Linked DNA regions of Saccharomyces cerevisiae S288C. Each later gene encodes a partner of the first gene's protein in a complex. Each region holds a gene or a part of one and is shown in the gene's direction. Other genes may lie near its edges. The genes, in order: PFS2, SWD2, PTA1 and PAP1.

Evidence for each region.
Region 2: PFS2 (region 1) and SWD2 share a complex: the UniProt entries of both Saccharomyces cerevisiae proteins name them as parts of the cleavage and polyadenylation factor (CPF) complex.
Region 3: PFS2 (region 1) and PTA1 share a complex: the UniProt entries of both Saccharomyces cerevisiae proteins name them as parts of the cleavage and polyadenylation factor (CPF) complex.
Region 4: PFS2 (region 1) and PAP1 share a complex: the UniProt entries of both Saccharomyces cerevisiae proteins name them as parts of the cleavage and polyadenylation factor (CPF) complex.

The regions. Positions count from the first base shown.
Region 1 is NC_001146.8:38,095-43,118, forward strand, and holds PFS2 (cleavage polyadenylation factor subunit PFS2), read left to right. Parts: upstream 1-2,524; coding exon 2,525-3,922; downstream 3,923-5,024. Other genes in the region: YNL320W (uncharacterized protein), read left to right, coding at 1-460; HXT14 (Hxt14p), read right to left, coding at 613-2,235; prephenate dehydratase PHA2, read right to left, coding at 3,977-4,981. UniProt on the Saccharomyces cerevisiae protein: Integral and essential component of the cleavage and polyadenylation factor (CPF) complex, which plays a key role in polyadenylation-dependent pre-mRNA 3'-end formation and cooperates with cleavage factors including the CFIA complex and NAB4/CFIB.
Region 2 is NC_001143.9:401,574-406,415, forward strand, and holds SWD2 (WD-repeat containing protein SWD2), read left to right. Parts: upstream 1-2,528; coding exon 2,529-3,518; downstream 3,519-4,842. Other genes in the region: SPT23 (Spt23p), read right to left, coding at 1-507; RAM2 (bifunctional protein farnesyltransferase/protein geranylgeranyltransferase), read left to right, coding at 995-1,945; MCO12 (Mco12p), read right to left, coding at 2,007-2,306; ATP-dependent 5'-3' DNA helicase HCS1, read right to left, coding at 3,617-4,842. UniProt on the Saccharomyces cerevisiae protein: The COMPASS (Set1C) complex specifically mono-, di- and trimethylates histone H3 to form H3K4me1/2/3, which subsequently plays a role in telomere length maintenance and transcription elongation regulation. Involved in mediating RNA polymerase II termination.
Region 3 is NC_001133.9:58,195-64,433, reverse strand, and holds PTA1 (RNA-processing protein PTA1), read left to right. Parts: upstream 1-3,381; coding exon 3,382-5,739; downstream 5,740-6,239. Other genes in the region: Rho family guanine nucleotide exchange factor CDC24, read right to left, coding at 1-1,594; retrograde cargo receptor ERV46, read right to left, coding at 1,871-3,118; GCV3 (glycine decarboxylase subunit H), read left to right, coding at 5,972-6,239. UniProt on the Saccharomyces cerevisiae protein: Essential in pre-tRNA processing. Component of the cleavage and polyadenylation factor (CPF) complex, which plays a key role in polyadenylation-dependent pre-mRNA 3'-end formation and cooperates with cleavage factors including the CFIA complex and NAB4/CFIB.
Region 4 is NC_001143.9:441,145-445,438, forward strand, and holds PAP1 (polynucleotide adenylyltransferase PAP1), read left to right. Parts: upstream 1-2,087; coding exon 2,088-3,794; downstream 3,795-4,294. Other genes in the region: dynamin-like GTPase VPS1, read right to left, coding at 1-1,578; oxysterol-binding protein OSH6, read left to right, coding at 4,237-4,294. UniProt on the Saccharomyces cerevisiae protein: Polymerase component of the cleavage and polyadenylation factor (CPF) complex, which plays a key role in polyadenylation-dependent pre-mRNA 3'-end formation and cooperates with cleavage factors including the CFIA complex and NAB4/CFIB.

The DNA.
Region 1 (5,024 bases):
CGCTGATTGTGTCATATCGCATTTGTCAACGGATTCTTTCCATTCAAAGAGAAAACTAGTATTGTATGGTAGATCTCTAGGTGGTGCTAATGCTCTTTACATTGCTTCAAAATTTCGGGATCTATGCGATGGCGTTATACTGGAGAATACATTTTTGAGTATTCGAAAAGTTATCCCATATATTTTCCCCCTTTTGAAACGCTTTACGCTTTTATGTCACGAAATCTGGAATTCAGAAGGCCTTATGGGAAGCTGTAGTTCAGAGACGCCATTCTTGTTTTTAAGTGGATTAAAAGATGAAATCGTTCCACCCTTCCACATGAGGAAACTGTACGAAACATGTCCTAGTTCGAACAAAAAGATTTTCGAATTTCCACTTGGTTCACACAATGATACTATTATTCAAGATGGGTACTGGGATATAATAAGAGATTTTCTAATAGAGAAGGGTTTTATCTAAAAGTAATAATCAAAATATTTGATAGATTTATTTACTTTACTGTATGTAAAGAAAATGTGGTCAGTCCTCACGGCCACTTAGTTACTGATGGTTATTTATTATGGAAAAAAAAACTGCACTTTGCTACTTCTTCTATTTATATTATGTAATATCTACTCCGGTTCAAATATTTTATTGATCTCTTGCTCATTCTTTTTCCTCGTTTCAGGAACTAGTATCCAACTGAATATTATCAACGCTAATAGGCAAGCAGCAAATATGTATCCTAGTTTGAAATCAATTTTGGATACAATCATTGGTGTTAAAAGTGATATTAAGAAATTGAACATCCAATTGATAAATGTGCAAATAGCCATTGATATGGCCCTCGTTCTTAGAGGGAACAATTCGGACACTAGTACAAATGTAACTGGGCCCAATGTTATTGCAAACCAAAAAATAAAACAACAAGTCACGATAATTAAAACAATATTTGAGAAGTCCGTTTCTCTTCCAAATGTCCCCACAGTAGCATATGTCATCATATAAAATAATAAATTTGTTGAACCATATAATAAACATGTCTTGTGGCCCCATTTCTCCACGTAATATATGCCTAATATCGTAGAAAGGAAGTTAACACTTGACAGTATGATTGAAGTAATATAAGGATCCTTAATCCCGACACCTTTGAAAACAGACGTTCCGTAATAAAAGAAATAATTTATTCCGGACAGCTGTTGAAATGCCATTATCATCATACCAATAATCAGTCTCAACCATAACTTTGGCTTTCCCATAATAAATTCAAATGTGTTTCTTTTAACTAAGCTTTGCTTTTTTGATTCGTTGTTAGTTTCCTCATTATTATAGTTATTTTCCAGCAAATCATCGATGAATTCAATTACCATGCTATCCGTCGCAGGGATGCCATTCATCCTCGCAAAAGAGTATTTAGCAGAGGGCACATCATTTTTGATTTTTGCCAAGTACTGTGGAGATTCAGGAACGTAAACAAGTGACATTCCAATTATAATTGCCCAAATGTATCCCAAGAACAATGGCAATTGCCAGGCTATATTTTGTGTAGGATCTTTATAACATCTTTCGCATATGAAATTTAAAATGTTTCCCATTAGTATGCCAAATGTTACAATCAATTGATACGTAGATACCATGGAGCCTCTGATTTTTAGTGGAGAATTCTCGGAGAGAAACATTGGCACCAAGACAGTGGTTACTCCCACACCGATTCCCGTTACGGCTCTTCCCAATGTCAAAAAATACCACCTTCCATAGGAGAGAATTTGAATGGTTATACCGATGCAGTACACTACTAAGGCAAACCATATACCACCTTTCCTACCAATCCAATCACCGATTTTTGACAGAGTTAAAGCCCCTACGCCACAACTGATGTTAAAAATACTGATAATTAGGCCTATTTGCAGATCAGTAAGTTTCTTAGTAGATACAAAAATTGTTTCATCGTCATGGATAATATTAGTTGTGCCAAATTTTTCTTGAAAGCTAACCATATTTGTCATTCCACCGATGGTTCCAATGTCCCATCCAAAAATAAAGCCACCAAGCGAGATTACCAAGCACAATAAAACGGGAATATGCAGACTCGCATTGTGACTAATCTTTGCTGCTTGGCCTTCTATATTTTCTTCTTTATCATCTAGATACTTAATGGTTACATTATAATCCCTTCCCCTGCCTGCATCAAGCTCATTATTGTGAAAATGAGAGATGTATCCCGAGCTATGTTGATACGGAATCTGAGCAGTCATTTCTAGCAATAATTGAAGTACTTTACTTCCTAAGAATACGTTAACAAATTCTTTGTTAGTATTTCTAATTAAAAGTGGTTAATTGTTCTGTTAAACAGTATTCAATGTTGCTATTTGAATTTGTGTCATCATTAGAATTACTGACATTTTTATTTTCTATTTTTTTTTCTATTTTTTTTCCTCTTCTTTTGAGGGCCGACGTATCGATTTGTCAAGGGAAGTATAATTAAAGAAAGCACTGATATACAGGTTGCTGGGTAGATATTAAGAAGCTCAACATAGACACGTTATGGACGGGCATAATCAGAACCAGTACCAGAATCAGAATCAAATTCAGCAGTCACAACAACCACCTCTGAAGAAATATGTGACACAGAGACGATCGGTAGACGTGAGTTCTCCGTATATTAACCTATATTACAACAGACGACATGGATTACCGAACCTAGTGGTAGAGCCAGAAACTTCATACACAATAGATATAATGCCGCCTAATGCCTACAGAGGTCGAGATCGAGTCATAAATTTGCCCAGCAAATTTACGCATTTAAGCTCGAATAAAGTGAAACATGTGATACCCGCCATCCAATGGACCCCAGAAGGCAGAAGACTTGTAGTAGCAACTTATAGCGGAGAATTTTCTCTATGGAACGCATCTTCGTTTACGTTTGAAACCCTCATGCAAGCACATGATTCGGCTGTGACTACAATGAAATATTCTCACGACAGTGATTGGATGATTAGTGGGGACGCAGATGGAATGATTAAGATATGGCAACCAAACTTTAGTATGGTTAAAGAAATTGATGCTGCACACACGGAAAGTATTAGGGATATGGCATTCAGTAGTAACGACTCGAAATTTGTTACCTGTTCAGATGATAATATCTTGAAGATTTGGAACTTCAGCAATGGCAAACAAGAAAGAGTATTATCGGGGCACCACTGGGACGTGAAAAGTTGTGATTGGCATCCCGAGATGGGGTTAATTGCCTCCGCATCTAAGGACAATTTAGTAAAACTGTGGGATCCGCGTTCCGGAAACTGCATATCATCAATTCTGAAGTTCAAACATACTGTCTTGAAGACGCGATTTCAACCCACCAAGGGAAATCTATTAATGGCGATTTCAAAAGATAAATCGTGTCGTGTGTTCGACATTAGATACAGTATGAAGGAACTAATGTGTGTAAGAGATGAAACGGATTATATGACACTAGAATGGCACCCAATAAATGAATCTATGTTCACTCTGGCGTGCTATGACGGCTCGCTAAAGCATTTTGATCTTTTACAAAATCTAAACGAACCTATTTTGACTATTCCATACGCCCATGATAAGTGTATCACCTCGTTATCATATAATCCAGTAGGACATATATTTGCCACAGCAGCTAAGGATAGAACCATAAGATTTTGGACTAGAGCGAGGCCAATTGATCCTAATGCATATGATGATCCAACTTATAACAATAAGAAGATAAATGGATGGTTTTTTGGCATCAATAACGACATCAATGCTGTGAGAGAGAAGAGTGAATTCGGTGCGGCCCCGCCACCACCAGCTACACTTGAACCACATGCGTTACCAAACATGAATGGATTCATCAACAAGAAACCGCGTCAAGAAATCCCAGGCATCGATTCAAACATCAAGAGTTCCACATTGCCAGGTTTAAGCATATAAAAGTGCGCTTTGACGAGATTTTAGGATACATAAATAAAAAGACTATATAACATATTATTTGTGATAATATCTCTCATTTCTGGGGAATGTACCCCACAGGCACCACTGTTTACTTTTGTCGCTGATATCTTCATAGAATTTTTCTTTATTCTTTGGGGTATTCTTCTCGGTGTAATATTCAATGAAAAATAAATATCGCCAGTTTCTATCATGTTCGTCCAAATGGAATGGTCTAGAGTTTATAGAACACATGTTGAGTGAATGGATTTTTAGTATGTTCAAAACATCTACCAAAGAACCAGGGTCATCTTGACGAGTAGTAAAGGTGAGTAGGTTAACCCGTAGTAATCCAGTGTCTTCTACTTCATTGTCGCCTGCGTTCTCCCTTCTCTTCAATACTAAAAATCTTGTTGTATTTCCTAGCTTATCATTTATCGAATGTTCAATGATGTACGCCTTATGCAATTGGGCAGCTGTTTCACTAGCAATGGCTAAATGCAGAATGTTGTCGCAATCGGCCGTTGATGACCGAATGCATTGGTTCACTGATTCAGATGTGGAAGAACAATCCAATCTTATAAAGGTGACCTGCGGAAATTTTTCTGCCATGGACCTTAAGTAACATTCAACCTGGCCCCATACTTGCGGATGTGAGTGTATTATGACTTCTTCAAAATTTCCAAGGGATGCAATACCATTTGGTAGTTGGATTGGGCTGATTAGACAATGGGTAATGGGTACATATTGCTCCGCTATAACTTCTATATCTGGTGTAATTCTATTAGTATCTGCTGGAGCAGGTAAGGATAGGGCTTTTTTGATCATCCTATCACGCAAGAGATCATAGGAAAAAACTACTTGTCCATTGGTGGAATTTTCCAACGGTACCACTGAATAATCTATACTAGTGTCGTTCTCCAATTGGTTAAAACATTGGGGGATAGAGGCTGCTGGGAGGTACTCAACATCAGATGTTGATTGAAATTGTTGTAATGCAGCTTGATGGGAATACGTACCTTTGGGACCCAGAAAAAGAACCCTCAAAGTCTTGCTGGCCATAATTGAAGGATGAATGCGGAAATATAATGAAGTTGCTTTTCGT
Region 2 (4,842 bases), on another chromosome or scaffold:
CGAGCTGGTGAAAAACTTGTCCTTCGCTATACAATCAGAGGGCAGATGAATAAAGAAGTTTTTTCTTGCATGTGCGTTTCTAATCCGAAAACTCAGCTTCATCTGAGTTTCCACCCTAGAAACCTTCGGCAACCCAATAATTTCTAGAGACAATGGAAGGGACTGCGGGTTAATGTTGATAAAATCCAGTGGATTCGCGTATGGCGTCCTCAGAGGTAGCTTTCTGCCAAATTGAACGTGTCGATCAAGCAATCCTTGCAAAGATGCGATGTCATCCCTGAGCTCCCCTTCATCTTCCTTACCTGGTGTAGTAGTACCTGCTGTTATCATTTTCTCTTGGTTCAGACTCAATAAACCAGGGTCTTGCAGAGAGGACCCAGAGTTGAGCAGAGCAATATCCAGTAATTCTGATTCTAGTAAATCCAAGTCCGGAGAGCCATCGTTGTGCTGTATGTTGGCGCTATAGCTGTGGAGCATCGAGGAAACGTTTCCTGTGCCACTCATCATTTTCAGTGGTGTACTACTGTTGTGATTAGTCGTTTAGAGGATATCTAGAGTATAATTATTTTGAATGAGTTTCGTTGACATTTTCAGTTCATGCGATCATCTTACTTTCATGGTTGCTCCTTGCCGTTAAAATTGAAACGAAAAAAGCGGGAATACAACAATGTCACCTTACACGAGCAGAGAAAAGGGCAGCAATAGCGACAATAACCGATAATGCCAGGCCTTCCAGAGCCCTATGCTGACCTATATTCATCATGACGCTATCCATATGCAACTAGAGACCTGCTGGGAAGCGCTCTCTCATTTTTGAAGGTTGCAGCAGTGCTCGCGCCGGTTTTCGATTGGGCCTCGTGATAAAACACATCAGCAAAGTTTCGCTTTTGACATTCTGTTAAATTGGTCCTTAACTGTTGGTGCAGACCTACTGCAAGACTGTTAATTATGGTATATTATATATCAAGTGCTGATACAACGTACACCATCGAAAATGGAGGAGTACGATTATTCAGACGTTAAACCTTTGCCCATTGAGACAGACTTGCAGGATGAACTGTGCAGGATTATGTATACCGAGGATTATAAGCGGTTGATGGGACTCGCAAGGGCTCTGATCAGCCTTAACGAACTGTCACCCAGGGCACTACAGCTAACAGCCGAAATTATCGACGTGGCGCCAGCCTTCTACACCATATGGAACTACCGATTCAATATCGTCAGGCACATGATGAGTGAATCCGAAGACACTGTCTTGTACCTGAACAAGGAATTAGACTGGCTAGATGAAGTTACGCTGAATAATCCAAAGAACTATCAGATCTGGTCCTATAGACAGTCTCTTTTGAAGCTACATCCGTCTCCTTCCTTCAAAAGAGAGCTGCCTATCTTAAAACTGATGATTGATGATGATTCCAAGAATTATCACGTTTGGTCGTACAGAAAGTGGTGCTGTTTGTTCTTCAGTGACTTTCAACATGAGCTCGCCTACGCCAGCGACCTCATCGAGACAGACATTTATAACAACAGCGCATGGACTCATAGGATGTTTTACTGGGTGAACGCTAAAGATGTCATTTCAAAAGTGGAATTGGCCGACGAGCTCCAGTTCATTATGGACAAGATTCAATTGGTTCCGCAGAACATCAGTCCGTGGACCTACCTCCGTGGTTTCCAAGAGCTATTCCATGATAGGCTACAGTGGGATAGCAAAGTAGTCGACTTCGCCACAACCTTCATCGGTGACGTATTGTCACTTCCAATTGGCTCACCAGAGGATTTGCCCGAGATCGAGTCCTCATATGCCCTGGAATTCCTGGCATATCACTGGGGGGCAGACCCTTGTACCCGAGACAACGCTGTTAAGGCCTATAGCTTGCTAGCAATCAAATACGATCCTATTAGAAAAAACTTGTGGCACCACAAAATAAATAATCTGAACTGAATATATGTAAGCACTCTATTTGTACGAATATATTTACGTGTGTACGTGCATGCACGCAAGTTTAATCTAGTTCTACAAACCTACTGCTGTATTGAGATTGATCTCTTCCCCTTCGTTTTGGACCGCTATCATTGATGCGTCCAAACCCGTCCTCGTTCAACTGCTTTCTGAAAAATTTAGAACGTTTAACCATCTTCAGCGTCCTTGTGTAGCACATCTCTCCCCATGACAGATATCTATGTATCCAGCCGCCCAACTGATACTGGTTGTAAAAGAATATCATTCCCGTCTCCCTTCTTATTGCCGATAGGAGCATAGCTACCAACGTCCCCTCTACTACCCACCTTATCATTCCCAACATCTTGCAATATGTTACGATCTGATCTTCACTCTCTTTTGCTCCTTCTTTTTGCTGTTTAACTGTTACCTACACTCATTTATTCGATACCTTTTTTTACCCATTTTTTCTTCATGCAGTTTAGCACTAGTACATTAAAAAAGAAAGAAAAAAAATGAAAGCAAGACTAAAATATCGAGCAAAGCACAAGCAAATACACCGTTTGTCCTTTTAGCATAGCCAACAATGACCACCGTGTCCATCAATAAGCCCAACCTGCTGAAATTCAAGCATGTTAAAAGCTTTCAACCTCAAGAAAAAGACTGCGGACCCGTAACCTCATTGAATTTCGACGATAATGGCCAGTTTCTACTGACCTCTTCTTCCAACGATACAATGCAATTGTACAGTGCCACGAACTGCAAATTCTTGGACACTATAGCCTCTAAGAAATATGGCTGTCACTCCGCTATCTTTACGCACGCACAAAACGAATGTATCTATTCCTCTACAATGAAAAATTTTGACATTAAATACCTTAATCTGGAAACAAACCAATATCTAAGATATTTTTCCGGTCATGGCGCCCTAGTGAATGATTTGAAGATGAACCCCGTGAACGATACGTTTCTATCGTCGTCATACGATGAATCCGTTAGGCTTTGGGATTTGAAGATCTCTAAACCGCAAGTTATTATACCAAGTCTCGTACCAAATTGTATCGCATATGATCCAAGTGGCCTTGTATTCGCATTGGGGAACCCAGAGAATTTCGAAATAGGGCTATATAATCTGAAAAAAATTCAGGAGGGTCCTTTCTTGATAATTAAAATTAATGATGCGACTTTCAGTCAATGGAATAAATTAGAATTTTCTAACAATGGAAAGTATTTATTAGTTGGCTCCTCGATAGGAAAGCATTTAATTTTTGACGCATTCACAGGTCAACAATTATTCGAACTAATAGGAACAAGGGCCTTCCCGATGAGAGAATTTCTAGATTCTGGATCTGCTTGTTTCACACCAGATGGTGAATTCGTCCTTGGAACCGATTATGACGGTAGGATTGCCATTTGGAATCATTCTGATTCAATAAGTAACAAAGTATTAAGGCCGCAAGGGTTCATTCCCTGTGTTTCTCATGAGACCTGCCCCAGGTCAATTGCATTCAACCCTAAATATTCGATGTTTGTTACCGCAGACGAAACAGTAGATTTTTACGTGTACGATGAATGACTGCTGCTACTGCATTGATATACTAGAGGATATAATATATAACGAACATTTTTTACCTACTGTATAACGACGTATACTCTATACATCTTGTGTATTCTTTACAAATAATCGTCAATGTTGGGGTACCTTACGTCAGCGTTCTCTTCACACCATTCTGACCAACTTTTTAGGTACTTGTTACCGCACCTTTGCAGAACTTCTATATTGCCAACAACAACTAGTTGCCTTCTGGGTCTTGTCATGGCGACGTTCAGTCTTCGTTCTTCCTTAAGGAAACCAACTTCAAATTTTTCATTGCTACGAACTAAACTCAATATGATAACATCTTTTTCACGGCCCTGGAACCCATCTACAGTTGATATTTCAATATCAGTTAATTTTAATTCATCATGGATCAATTTTTTCAGATGAGAAACTTGTGCATTGTATGGAGAAATAACACCTATAGAGTTCTCCGGGACGTTGAATGACCTTAAATTCTCAATGTGTTCTTTTACAATGGCAATTTCGCCCTCATTATACTTAGATCCAAGGATAGTAGCTTCATCTGCAGTCTCTTGAAATTCATCACCTTGCGTATCATACCAAATTAAAGGAATTTTTGTATCGTCATCATCCTCAGATGGCGTAGCATCGACGGTCGGTAGGTCTATCAAAAGTCTGTTCGCGACCGTTGCATCGGCCAATAGTTTCCCATTATACATTGAGTGCGATGGAAATTCCATAATTTTTTGATTCATCCTGTATTGAACGTTAAGAAATTTTACCATATCCCTTTTCGGGAATATTTTGATTATTCTGTCAAATAGTGTGGTTTCCAAATTGTGAATGACATTTTTGTCGTCTTCTGTTTTGATTGTGGGTGGCAATTGTTTATTGTCACCAGCAAGGACTAGTTTGTGGAACTGATTTTGATGTGCAATTAGTGGGATCCAGCATTGTGGTTCCATGGCCTGTGAGACTTCATCGATGATCAAGGTATCGAAAAGCTGGAAATTTGGATCATCTCTATAAAGGGAGCATAGTTCTCTCGATGATGAACCGTGTAAAGTGGTGACGACTATTCTCGATTGTATTATTAAGTCCTTAATGGTTTTGAACTCTCTTTTCTTTAAATCTTTGCGCAGCAGTTTAATTTCGTTCCAGTTTTCTTTACGTTGCTTATAGTTTTTTAGTTTTTTATTCTCCTGAATTAATTTGTCAATCTCCTGGGAAATGTCCTTCACAATAGTATTCTTTTTACTAAGTATATCAAGAGAGTGTCTTTTATTAGAGTCTAATAGCCTAGCAGGATGACCGATTCTTAATAATAAATTATTCGGCA
Region 3 (6,239 bases), on another chromosome or scaffold:
GGATTAGTGATGATGCAGATTTCTTAGTCACTACCTCTGAAAAAAGGATGATGATTTTTTCAAAAAGATAAACCTCAAATTCTCTTTCAGGTTCCGAGGAGCTATTTGTTGTTGAAATGAACACTTTATCGAAATATAATAACTCACCGAACTTGGAAATTCTATAACCCTTCCAGTTGACCACTCTACCATAAAGTTTCTTCACCACTTGATGATTTTCTGTTCTTCTTTGATTTTCGTTGATACTTCTCGCAATATTTTTAGAAATATCTAAAGCAGCTTCAAGTTCTTTCGTATTATTATCGTCACTCGATTCAGCAAGCAATTCTTTGACCAACAGGGGATATCTACAAAGCCTTTGCACGGGTTTATAAAGGAAGGATTGCAATTCCAGTTTATTGTTAATTATGAACCGCTGCGATTCATCAACCCTCATCTTGTGCAAAGTTGAAGAGAGAAATTCGATGGCTGCATTTTGGCCAATAGACCAAGGCTCATACAACTTAAAAAAATGTTTGGAATGCATGAAAAGAGCCCCGATTCTTTGCTTGGAAGGTTCTACTAAAGCATTTATTTCCAAGGATATTAGAAATCTTCTTTGAAAATCTATAGCATCACCCAAATTAGGGAACAACATGTACAACTCTTCAGACGTTATTAGATTGCTGTCTAATAACTGCTGTCTATATTTATCCAAAATTTCCAAATCGTGAACATATTTTCTTTCCGTTGCAACGAATTCCTTGATAATTTTAACATACTCGTTATGCTTCTTCGAAGACTGCTGAGGCTGATGTCGGTGTTGGTTTTCTGCGTTCATGATTTGCTGTGTCTTACTCTTAGAGGGGAAAATAGTAGGGCTGGAATTCATTAGCGTTTCTACTACTTCTAGCACTTTGACCAGCTGGGAAGTAGAGTTGGCAAAAACGTCGGATATAGTGAAAAGCTCCTCATCGTTAAATGCAAAGTGTTTCTTGCAGCCCAATATAAAGTCATAAATGGATTTTTTACAGACTTTCAAATCGTCAGATGCTATTACCGGTAATTTAAATTGCGGCTTCACAGAGTTGAAAAGTATACAGAGGGGCGCACCTTGTTGAAACAGCTGTGATAGTTGTGTCACAGGGTCGCAATCCATGGTAATGGGCAAAATACCCATACTAAAAGTCAGTAAAGTGTCCTCCATATTTGGGGTGGCCGAGGGATTCGAATTCGTGTATGATATACCTTCCATCGACATGAGACTGGTAGCTGTGGAGATAGAGCTAGACCTTAAAGTTGGTGCCAAGTCGCTACTGTCCCGGTTAGCGCCATTGGACTTGAGCAGTTCCTGATGCTGCTTTTGGGATAGCAAAAGAGATTGCCTTTCACTCAAAACCTCGCTCGATTGGTAGGCCAATTGTAAAAAAGGTTTGAGTTGAGGTAACACCTCCAGTCTTTTCCGGATGTTTGCGCATATATGGAACAGTGAGTCCTGTTCCGTGACAGGCTTGTTCATGACATTTTGCATGGGTATGGAGATGGAAGTTGCACTTGGTTTTGGTTTCAAATCGGATAAAGATGTGCCCGAGGCAAAACGGGTTTGGATCGCCATGATCTCTCGGGTTGGATTAGCAGACAGGTCTTGATAGGGCTAGGCAACAAATGATAACAGCAATGGTACTCTTCTGCTATCCTACCATAGCCACATTCTTGTTCTGTTTCTACCTTAAAGCTTCTGTTTTCCACTTCTTCCCACCAGTGCGTCGTTCTTCGCGATTATCGTACAATATGATATTTGTACAAGTAGTGATATACCAATTTCTATACTATATATATATATTATGTAGTAGTATGTAGAAAGGGCTCTTCCCTATGACAGTCTCTTCCTCTACTGGCTCTTCTTGCCCCAGATCGATCTCTGTGCTTTGTAGAATAGCTTGTCCATGACAGTGCCCACAGCTAGGACACCACCAATGCTGGTGATACAATTCAAGATGAAGCCCGACCAAGTCTGCCCGTGCTGTTCCTTATTGATGACTTTCAATGGAGACATTTCGAAAAAGACGAACATACCAGGGATACCACCCCTAACGTGAAGTGTGTTTGGATGATCCTTGTCCCTTCCACCGGCAAGAGGTCGGGAATGAAAAGTGGCGCTGAACTGCGCGGTCTCAATGACAACATTATCCAAGTACTCATATCTGGTGGGGACAATCTTGGCAAAATACGAGAACTGGTGAAAGTGTGTGTTCCTGTCCGGGAACACCTGGCGTCCGTCCAAGGGAGAAGTGGCAACTACGGCGCCGCCGTGGCGCTTATCGTTTCCTAACAACTTACTGTGGGACTGGATCGGCTTCCCAAAGCTCAAATGATTGATGATGTGGTTGAAGTTCAAATTCGAAGTCTTGTCGTACAAAGAAGTATCATGAAAATGTCCATATGCATTCTGGTAGGGTTTTCCAGGGGCAAAGTGAAGATTCCCCTGAATTCTGTTAATTTGTGCAGAACCTTTGATCCTGCAGCCTTCATTCAAGTGCTCGTTAATCTTGCTGACATAGCCCTCTCTTTCACACTGCTCGATATTCTTCCCGTCGAAAAAAGCCCAGCCTGCCTCCAAGTATGCTGATCTCACTGCATCACAGTCTTGGCAGCAAACCTTCTCTTCCTGTGCTAGATTCTCATTCTGCGACTGATCTTTGGCACCGTAACATGGCCCACAATAGTTAGGATCGTTATTAACCGGCGCGGTTCCGTCGCCGTTCCCACCCACATGCAACTCAGTAGCATCTCCCACGGGGCGACCCTCGCTATTCAACCTAGACATCGTGAACCCTGCGTCAAGAATGTCTAGTTGCATCTCTCCAGAGTCGTCCATAATATCGAGATTCACCAGGTCACATGGCATCGATGGAAATGTCACATCCATATTAAGCTCCAGCTTTGCGTGTCGGTCACGGTCCACCACCAATTGTGGCCTTGTTACCACAGAATTGAACTGTCCCCACTCGTTCACCAGCAGAAATAACGTGGTCAAGATGCACGATAAAGTGATCAGCCCGCCGGCCCTGGTGCGGACTCGTACGTCCTCTTCGGTCTTAGCGAATGCGTCCAGCGACAGCAACGTGGACCTTTTCATGATGTCTATTGTGTCTAGCTATGTGTGTTATATCACTGTCCTACTCCGCATGTATACGAGACATAAAACTAGCTTTCCTTTATAATGGCGTGGTTTCCACTCCATCTTGATGGAAAATCGCCGTTCTGATGTTCAAGTCGTATATAGTGACTTGATCTAAAAGTGAAAAGTTGCCATATTTCGATACCTTTTAACCGTTAGTACTTGACTGAACAAATGGTTAAATCGTGGCAAGAAGCATATAACTACCACTAAGCAGCGCAATGTCATCTGCAGAGATGGAACAATTGTTACAGGCCAAGACACTGGCCATGCACAACAATCCAACGGAGATGCTGCCCAAGGTGCTCGAAACTACGGCATCCATGTACCACAACGGTAATCTCAGCAAGCTGAAGTTGCCTTTGGCCAAGTTTTTTACACAGTTAGTTCTAGACGTGGTGTCGATGGACTCTCCAATTGCGAATACTGAGAGACCGTTTATTGCTGCTCAATATCTGCCACTACTTCTTGCTATGGCGCAATCCACCGCGGACGTACTAGTGTACAAGAATATCGTGCTTATTATGTGCGCTTCATACCCGCTGGTGTTGGATCTGGTTGCTAAGACATCAAACCAGGAAATGTTTGATCAGTTGTGTATGCTGAAGAAGTTCGTGCTCTCGCACTGGAGAACTGCATATCCTTTGCGTGCCACCGTTGACGATGAAACGGATGTCGAACAATGGCTGGCGCAGATTGACCAAAATATCGGCGTGAAATTAGCGACCATCAAGTTCATATCTGAGGTCGTGCTGTCGCAAACTAAATCACCCAGCGGCAACGAGATTAATTCATCTACCATCCCGGATAACCACCCTGTGTTGAACAAACCGGCTTTGGAGAGCGAGGCTAAGAGGCTTCTTGATATGTTGCTAAACTACCTAATTGAGGAACAGTACATGGTCTCGTCCGTTTTCATTGGTATCATCAATTCTTTATCCTTCGTCATCAAAAGAAGGCCGCAGACAACAATAAGAATTCTTTCCGGGCTGTTGCGTTTCAACGTCGACGCCAAGTTTCCCCTAGAGGGCAAGTCTGACTTGAACTACAAACTATCCAAGAGATTTGTTGAAAGGGCGTACAAGAACTTTGTGCAATTTGGGCTAAAAAATCAAATCATTACAAAATCCCTCTCATCCGGATCAGGGTCATCGATCTACTCCAAGCTGACCAAGATTTCTCAAACTTTACACGTTATTGGCGAAGAGACCAAGAGCAAGGGAATTTTGAACTTCGACCCTTCCAAGGGCAATAGCAAGAAAACGTTGTCCAGGCAGGACAAACTAAAATACATCTCACTATGGAAAAGGCAATTATCCGCGTTATTGTCTACTCTAGGGGTGTCCACAAAGACCCCCACGCCTGTGTCCGCACCTGCAACGGGCTCTTCAACCGAAAACATGCTTGATCAACTGAAGATATTGCAAAAATACACCCTCAACAAGGCTTCACACCAGGGCAATACTTTTTTCAACAACTCACCCAAACCAATCAGCAACACCTACTCATCTGTGTACTCATTGATGAACAGTTCGAACTCCAACCAGGATGTGACCCAGCTACCCAATGACATACTTATCAAGCTGTCCACAGAGGCCATCTTGCAAATGGACAGCACGAAACTGATCACCGGATTGTCTATCGTTGCTTCGAGGTACACGGATTTAATGAATACGTACATCAATTCTGTACCGTCCTCGTCATCATCAAAGAGGAAATCCGACGATGATGACGACGGCAACGACAATGAAGAAGTTGGAAACGATGGCCCAACGGCTAATAGCAAGAAAATCAAAATGGAAACAGAACCACTAGCGGAGGAACCAGAGGAGCCCGAAGACGATGACCGAATGCAGAAGATGCTTCAAGAAGAGGAAAGCGCCCAAGAAATCTCAGGAGATGCCAACAAATCAACTTCTGCCATTAAGGAGATCGCACCCCCCTTTGAACCTGACTCATTGACGCAGGATGAAAAACTAAAGTACCTCTCAAAGCTGACCAAGAAACTGTTTGAATTATCCGGTCGCCAGGATACTACCCGGGCCAAATCTTCGTCTTCCTCCTCCATATTACTGGACGATGACGACTCCTCGTCATGGTTACACGTCTTAATCAGATTGGTTACGAGAGGAATCGAAGCACAAGAGGCCAGTGACCTGATTCGTGAAGAACTGCTTGGCTTCTTCATCCAGGATTTCGAGCAACGTGTCAGTCTGATCATTGAATGGCTCAATGAAGAATGGTTCTTCCAAACCTCGCTGCATCAAGATCCCTCTAACTACAAAAAATGGTCCTTAAGAGTTCTCGAGTCTCTGGGTCCATTCCTTGAAAACAAACACAGACGATTCTTCATCAGACTTATGAGCGAACTGCCCAGTCTTCAAAGCGATCATCTTGAGGCACTGAAGCCTATCTGCCTGGATCCGGCAAGAAGTTCCCTTGGTTTCCAAACGCTAAAGTTTCTCATTATGTTTAGACCCCCAGTGCAGGACACTGTTCGCGACCTGCTGCATCAGCTAAAGCAAGAAGATGAAGGCTTACACAAGCAGTGCGATTCACTGCTTGACAGGCTAAAATGATCACAACCATTACATACATCATATATACGCATGTGTAGGGTCTTCCTTCAACTTGCAAATCAATGTTTTATCTATCATTCTGTGCTATAGGGACCTCGCAATTTTGACACTTCCGTAAGGAGTCATTCAGCGGCGGAGTCACTTTCGCTAACTCTTTCTTCTATATATACAGACCAACAAACAAGTATCTAATGGGAAAGGGAATCTCCACATGAAGCATACCACATCGACAATGTTACGCACTACTAGACTATGGACCACCCGCATGCCCACTGTGAGCAAATTGTTTTTGAGAAACAGCTCCGGCAATGCCCTAAACAAGAATAAACTACCATTTTTGTACTCATCCCAAGGACCTCAAGCCGTGAGGTACACTTCCCAACATGAGTGGATAGCTGTGCATCAGGACAAGACTGCCTTTGTCGGAATTACAAAATACGCCACTGATGCCTTAGGGGACGCTACCTATGTTGAGTTGCCAGAAGTGGGCACTGAGATTG
Region 4 (4,294 bases), on another chromosome or scaffold:
GTAAGTTTGTTCAGCTTTGATGATATCGACAACAAACTCATTCGTAGGAATAGTAGCATCCTTTAAGAACTGAATGAACTGATTAGAAATCGCTTCTCTTAGAGCAGGATACCTTGAGTACTTTGGTTGTGAAATAATCTGTTTTAGCATACGAACAAGTTCATCAAACACCAGAGTAACTAAACGTAGAGATGGTTCTTCAAATCTTCTAATTTGCTGTTTAACTAAAACTTCAAAAGCTTCGGTACCGACAAACAAAGATGGGGCAGAACCTGAACTATTGTACATAATGGTTCTGATATCAGAATCTTTGATCTGGTCGAATGGATCCAAAGAGTCTACACCATTTTTGAAAGTTTCATGGAATACGTAAGAAATTCTAGCACCACCAGAAAGTTCCTGACTGGAAAGCTCCTTCGCCTCACCGTCCAAGATACCGGCATATTCATTGGAAAAATCAGTAATCATGCTCAAAACAACCGAACTAGCTGAATCCATAGTTTCTGGGCCCAAGTTTATAAGTTCGTTTTGATATTTTTTCAATGTGGCTTCGATTTTCGCTTTGATTTCTGGCAGAGTTTGCCTAATGTGGTGTAATAAGATTGAGTTTAACTTTTTAGCCAAATATGGTGTACCACAGTAATGAGCTTTAGAACTGTAAGAGGGATGGTTCTCAAAAAATTTTCTTTCGTTTTCAAGGGCTTCTCTGATTGTTTTTTTGTGTTCAATATCCTTTTGACCTCTATTGATAACTGGGATATAACCATATCTCAAAGGAATGACTCTTCCAGCCAAAATATCTATGACATCTGTACCTTGATCCATCAAATCGACTTTTGTCAAGACACCAATAGTTCTCGTTCCTTCTGGATCGACCTCTCTAGCCAGCTTCAAACCATCGCTGTTGGCTAAATCGGTGTTAGCGGCATTAACAGATAATATGATAGCGTTTGGTTTCGAAATATACTTTAACAACATGTCCTTAATTTGTCTTTCAATATCAGGAGGTTGGTCACCTACGGGAACCTTCGTCAACCCAGGCAAATCCACTAACGTCAAAGTAAGAACATGCGGAGAATAAATTCTCAAGTTAATGGGCACAGAAGAAATACCTGAATTGGCACCTGTCACTTTGTCAGTTTCTTTGACGATTTCCTTTCTAATTTCGTCAAAATTATAAAACTTCTTACCAGGTAAATGCAAAAATTCACCCCATTCCTCTTTATTGTCTTCAGATTGTCCCTCGTTCTGGTGCTTTCCTGATTCATCCTTTTTCTTGTCATCATCGTTGATGTTCAAGTCAATCAATTCATTAGCAGTTTGGTTTACTTTAGCATGTTCTGACTTTTTTGGTCTCCTATTAATCAATTGTAACACTAAAGGTCTCCTGGTGACAATACCAGTACCTCTTGGCAAGAAATCCCTACCAACAATGTTCTCCAAAACGGACGACTTTCCTGACGACTGGGAACCGACAACAGTGATCTGTGGTAAATCAATAGGAGATTGAGATCCTCCTCCTAAGGGCGCCAAAGCGTCCTGAAGCTTGTTAATAGTAGAAATTAAATGCTCATCCATGATATCTGATAATATAAAATGTGCAGTTTTCGTACGGTCCTTATTTTGGTGCTATAAAAGGCCTCTCTAATTCTTTTTTAGGAGTAAATAGATGAATTATCTCGGTCTGTCTTGGAAGATATGTTGTTCTCTTGATGGCAAAGCGACGCGAATCAACGGCGCCCAAGTCTTTGGGTGACCCGGCCACTTAATAATGTTTGGGGAAGAAATCAATCCATTAGAACATTGGTTTTGGAAACTAGGCCAGTCCAAGCGCACAAGTGGTTTACCCTCGAGCATTTTTCGACTATTAGAGGATTCAAGTATCTATCGAATTCTCTGAAGCTATCATACTATCCTCTGGACGATATTAGAACGATTTTTCAAGTGAAACGTTTTAGCAAAAGTTTAAAGACACTAAACTAGCTAAATAATTTCACTGTGAGCAAGTCTTTAAACGGTCTTTTTTGAATCAAAAGAGGCCTAGAATTAGCAAAATATTTAACGCATAAACTTTTTTTAGACAAATAATGAGCTCTCAAAAGGTTTTTGGTATTACTGGACCTGTTTCCACCGTGGGCGCCACAGCAGCAGAAAATAAATTAAATGATAGTTTAATCCAAGAACTGAAAAAGGAAGGATCGTTCGAAACAGAGCAAGAAACTGCCAATAGGGTACAAGTGTTGAAAATATTGCAGGAATTGGCACAAAGATTTGTTTATGAAGTATCGAAGAAGAAAAATATGTCAGACGGGATGGCAAGGGATGCTGGTGGGAAGATTTTTACGTATGGGTCCTATAGACTAGGAGTCCATGGGCCTGGTAGTGATATCGATACTTTGGTAGTTGTTCCAAAACATGTAACTCGGGAAGATTTTTTTACGGTATTTGATTCACTACTGAGAGAGAGGAAGGAACTGGATGAAATTGCACCTGTACCTGATGCGTTTGTCCCGATTATCAAGATAAAGTTCAGTGGTATTTCTATCGATTTAATCTGTGCACGTCTAGACCAACCTCAAGTGCCTTTATCCTTGACTTTATCAGATAAAAATCTACTGCGAAATCTAGACGAGAAGGACTTGAGAGCTTTGAATGGTACCAGAGTAACAGATGAGATATTAGAACTGGTACCAAAGCCGAATGTTTTCAGAATCGCTTTAAGAGCTATTAAGCTATGGGCCCAAAGAAGGGCTGTTTATGCTAATATTTTTGGTTTTCCTGGTGGTGTGGCTTGGGCCATGCTAGTGGCTAGAATTTGTCAACTATACCCTAACGCCTGTAGCGCAGTTATATTGAACAGATTTTTCATCATTTTGTCGGAATGGAATTGGCCACAACCTGTTATCTTGAAACCAATTGAGGATGGCCCGTTACAAGTTCGTGTATGGAATCCAAAGATATATGCCCAAGACAGGTCTCATAGAATGCCCGTCATTACACCAGCTTATCCATCAATGTGTGCTACCCATAACATCACGGAATCTACTAAAAAAGTCATTTTACAGGAATTCGTAAGAGGCGTTCAAATTACGAATGATATTTTTTCCAATAAGAAGTCCTGGGCCAATTTATTCGAAAAAAACGATTTTTTCTTTCGATACAAGTTCTATTTAGAAATTACTGCATATACAAGGGGCAGTGACGAGCAGCATTTAAAATGGAGTGGTCTTGTTGAAAGTAAGGTAAGGCTTCTAGTTATGAAACTGGAGGTGTTAGCTGGAATAAAAATTGCACATCCTTTCACCAAACCCTTTGAAAGTAGTTATTGTTGTCCAACCGAGGATGACTATGAAATGATTCAAGACAAATACGGTAGTCATAAAACTGAGACAGCACTGAACGCCCTTAAACTGGTAACAGATGAAAATAAAGAGGAAGAAAGTATTAAAGATGCACCAAAGGCATATTTAAGCACCATGTACATAGGCCTTGACTTTAATATTGAAAACAAAAAGGAAAAAGTTGACATTCACATTCCCTGCACTGAATTTGTGAATTTATGTCGAAGTTTCAATGAGGATTATGGTGACCACAAAGTATTCAATCTAGCCCTCCGCTTCGTAAAGGGTTACGATTTGCCAGATGAAGTTTTCGATGAAAATGAAAAGAGACCATCAAAGAAGAGTAAAAGGAAGAATTTAGATGCTAGACATGAAACCGTGAAGAGATCTAAATCAGATGCTGCTTCAGGTGACAACATCAATGGCACAACCGCAGCTGTTGACGTAAACTAAGACATTCCTATTTATAGTTGAATAGTTTATTAATATAGGTTAATCAGTCATAAACAAATTTGTACCCTTTTTTTTGAATCAAAGTACTTTTTTTACGAAGCAGTAAAACGTTTACGAGATTCTCTCTACATATGCTCTTTCGCGTGTAGCGACATTTTACCATTAGGTGAGAATTTTGTGTTACAAGCTGGATGTCAGGATGATACCTTTGAAGGCATAGTTAAATTGGCTGGGAAAGGAACGGAACCTTTTCCTTTCCGAGTTTCGGCCAGATATTTAGGCTTTTTTTTTTCTGACGGAATAGGGGACCCAGGATTGACAAATATAACAAAACAAGCTTCAACGAGACGTTTATCTCGAGAATTACGTCTGACAGTTACATGAAGTGTGAGTTCATGCAATCTGTACCTTTATTGACACAGATATACTAAAAGAAGTTACAATGGGCTCCAAAAAACTGACCGTAGGATCTGATTCGCACCGGTTGAGCAAATCCAGTT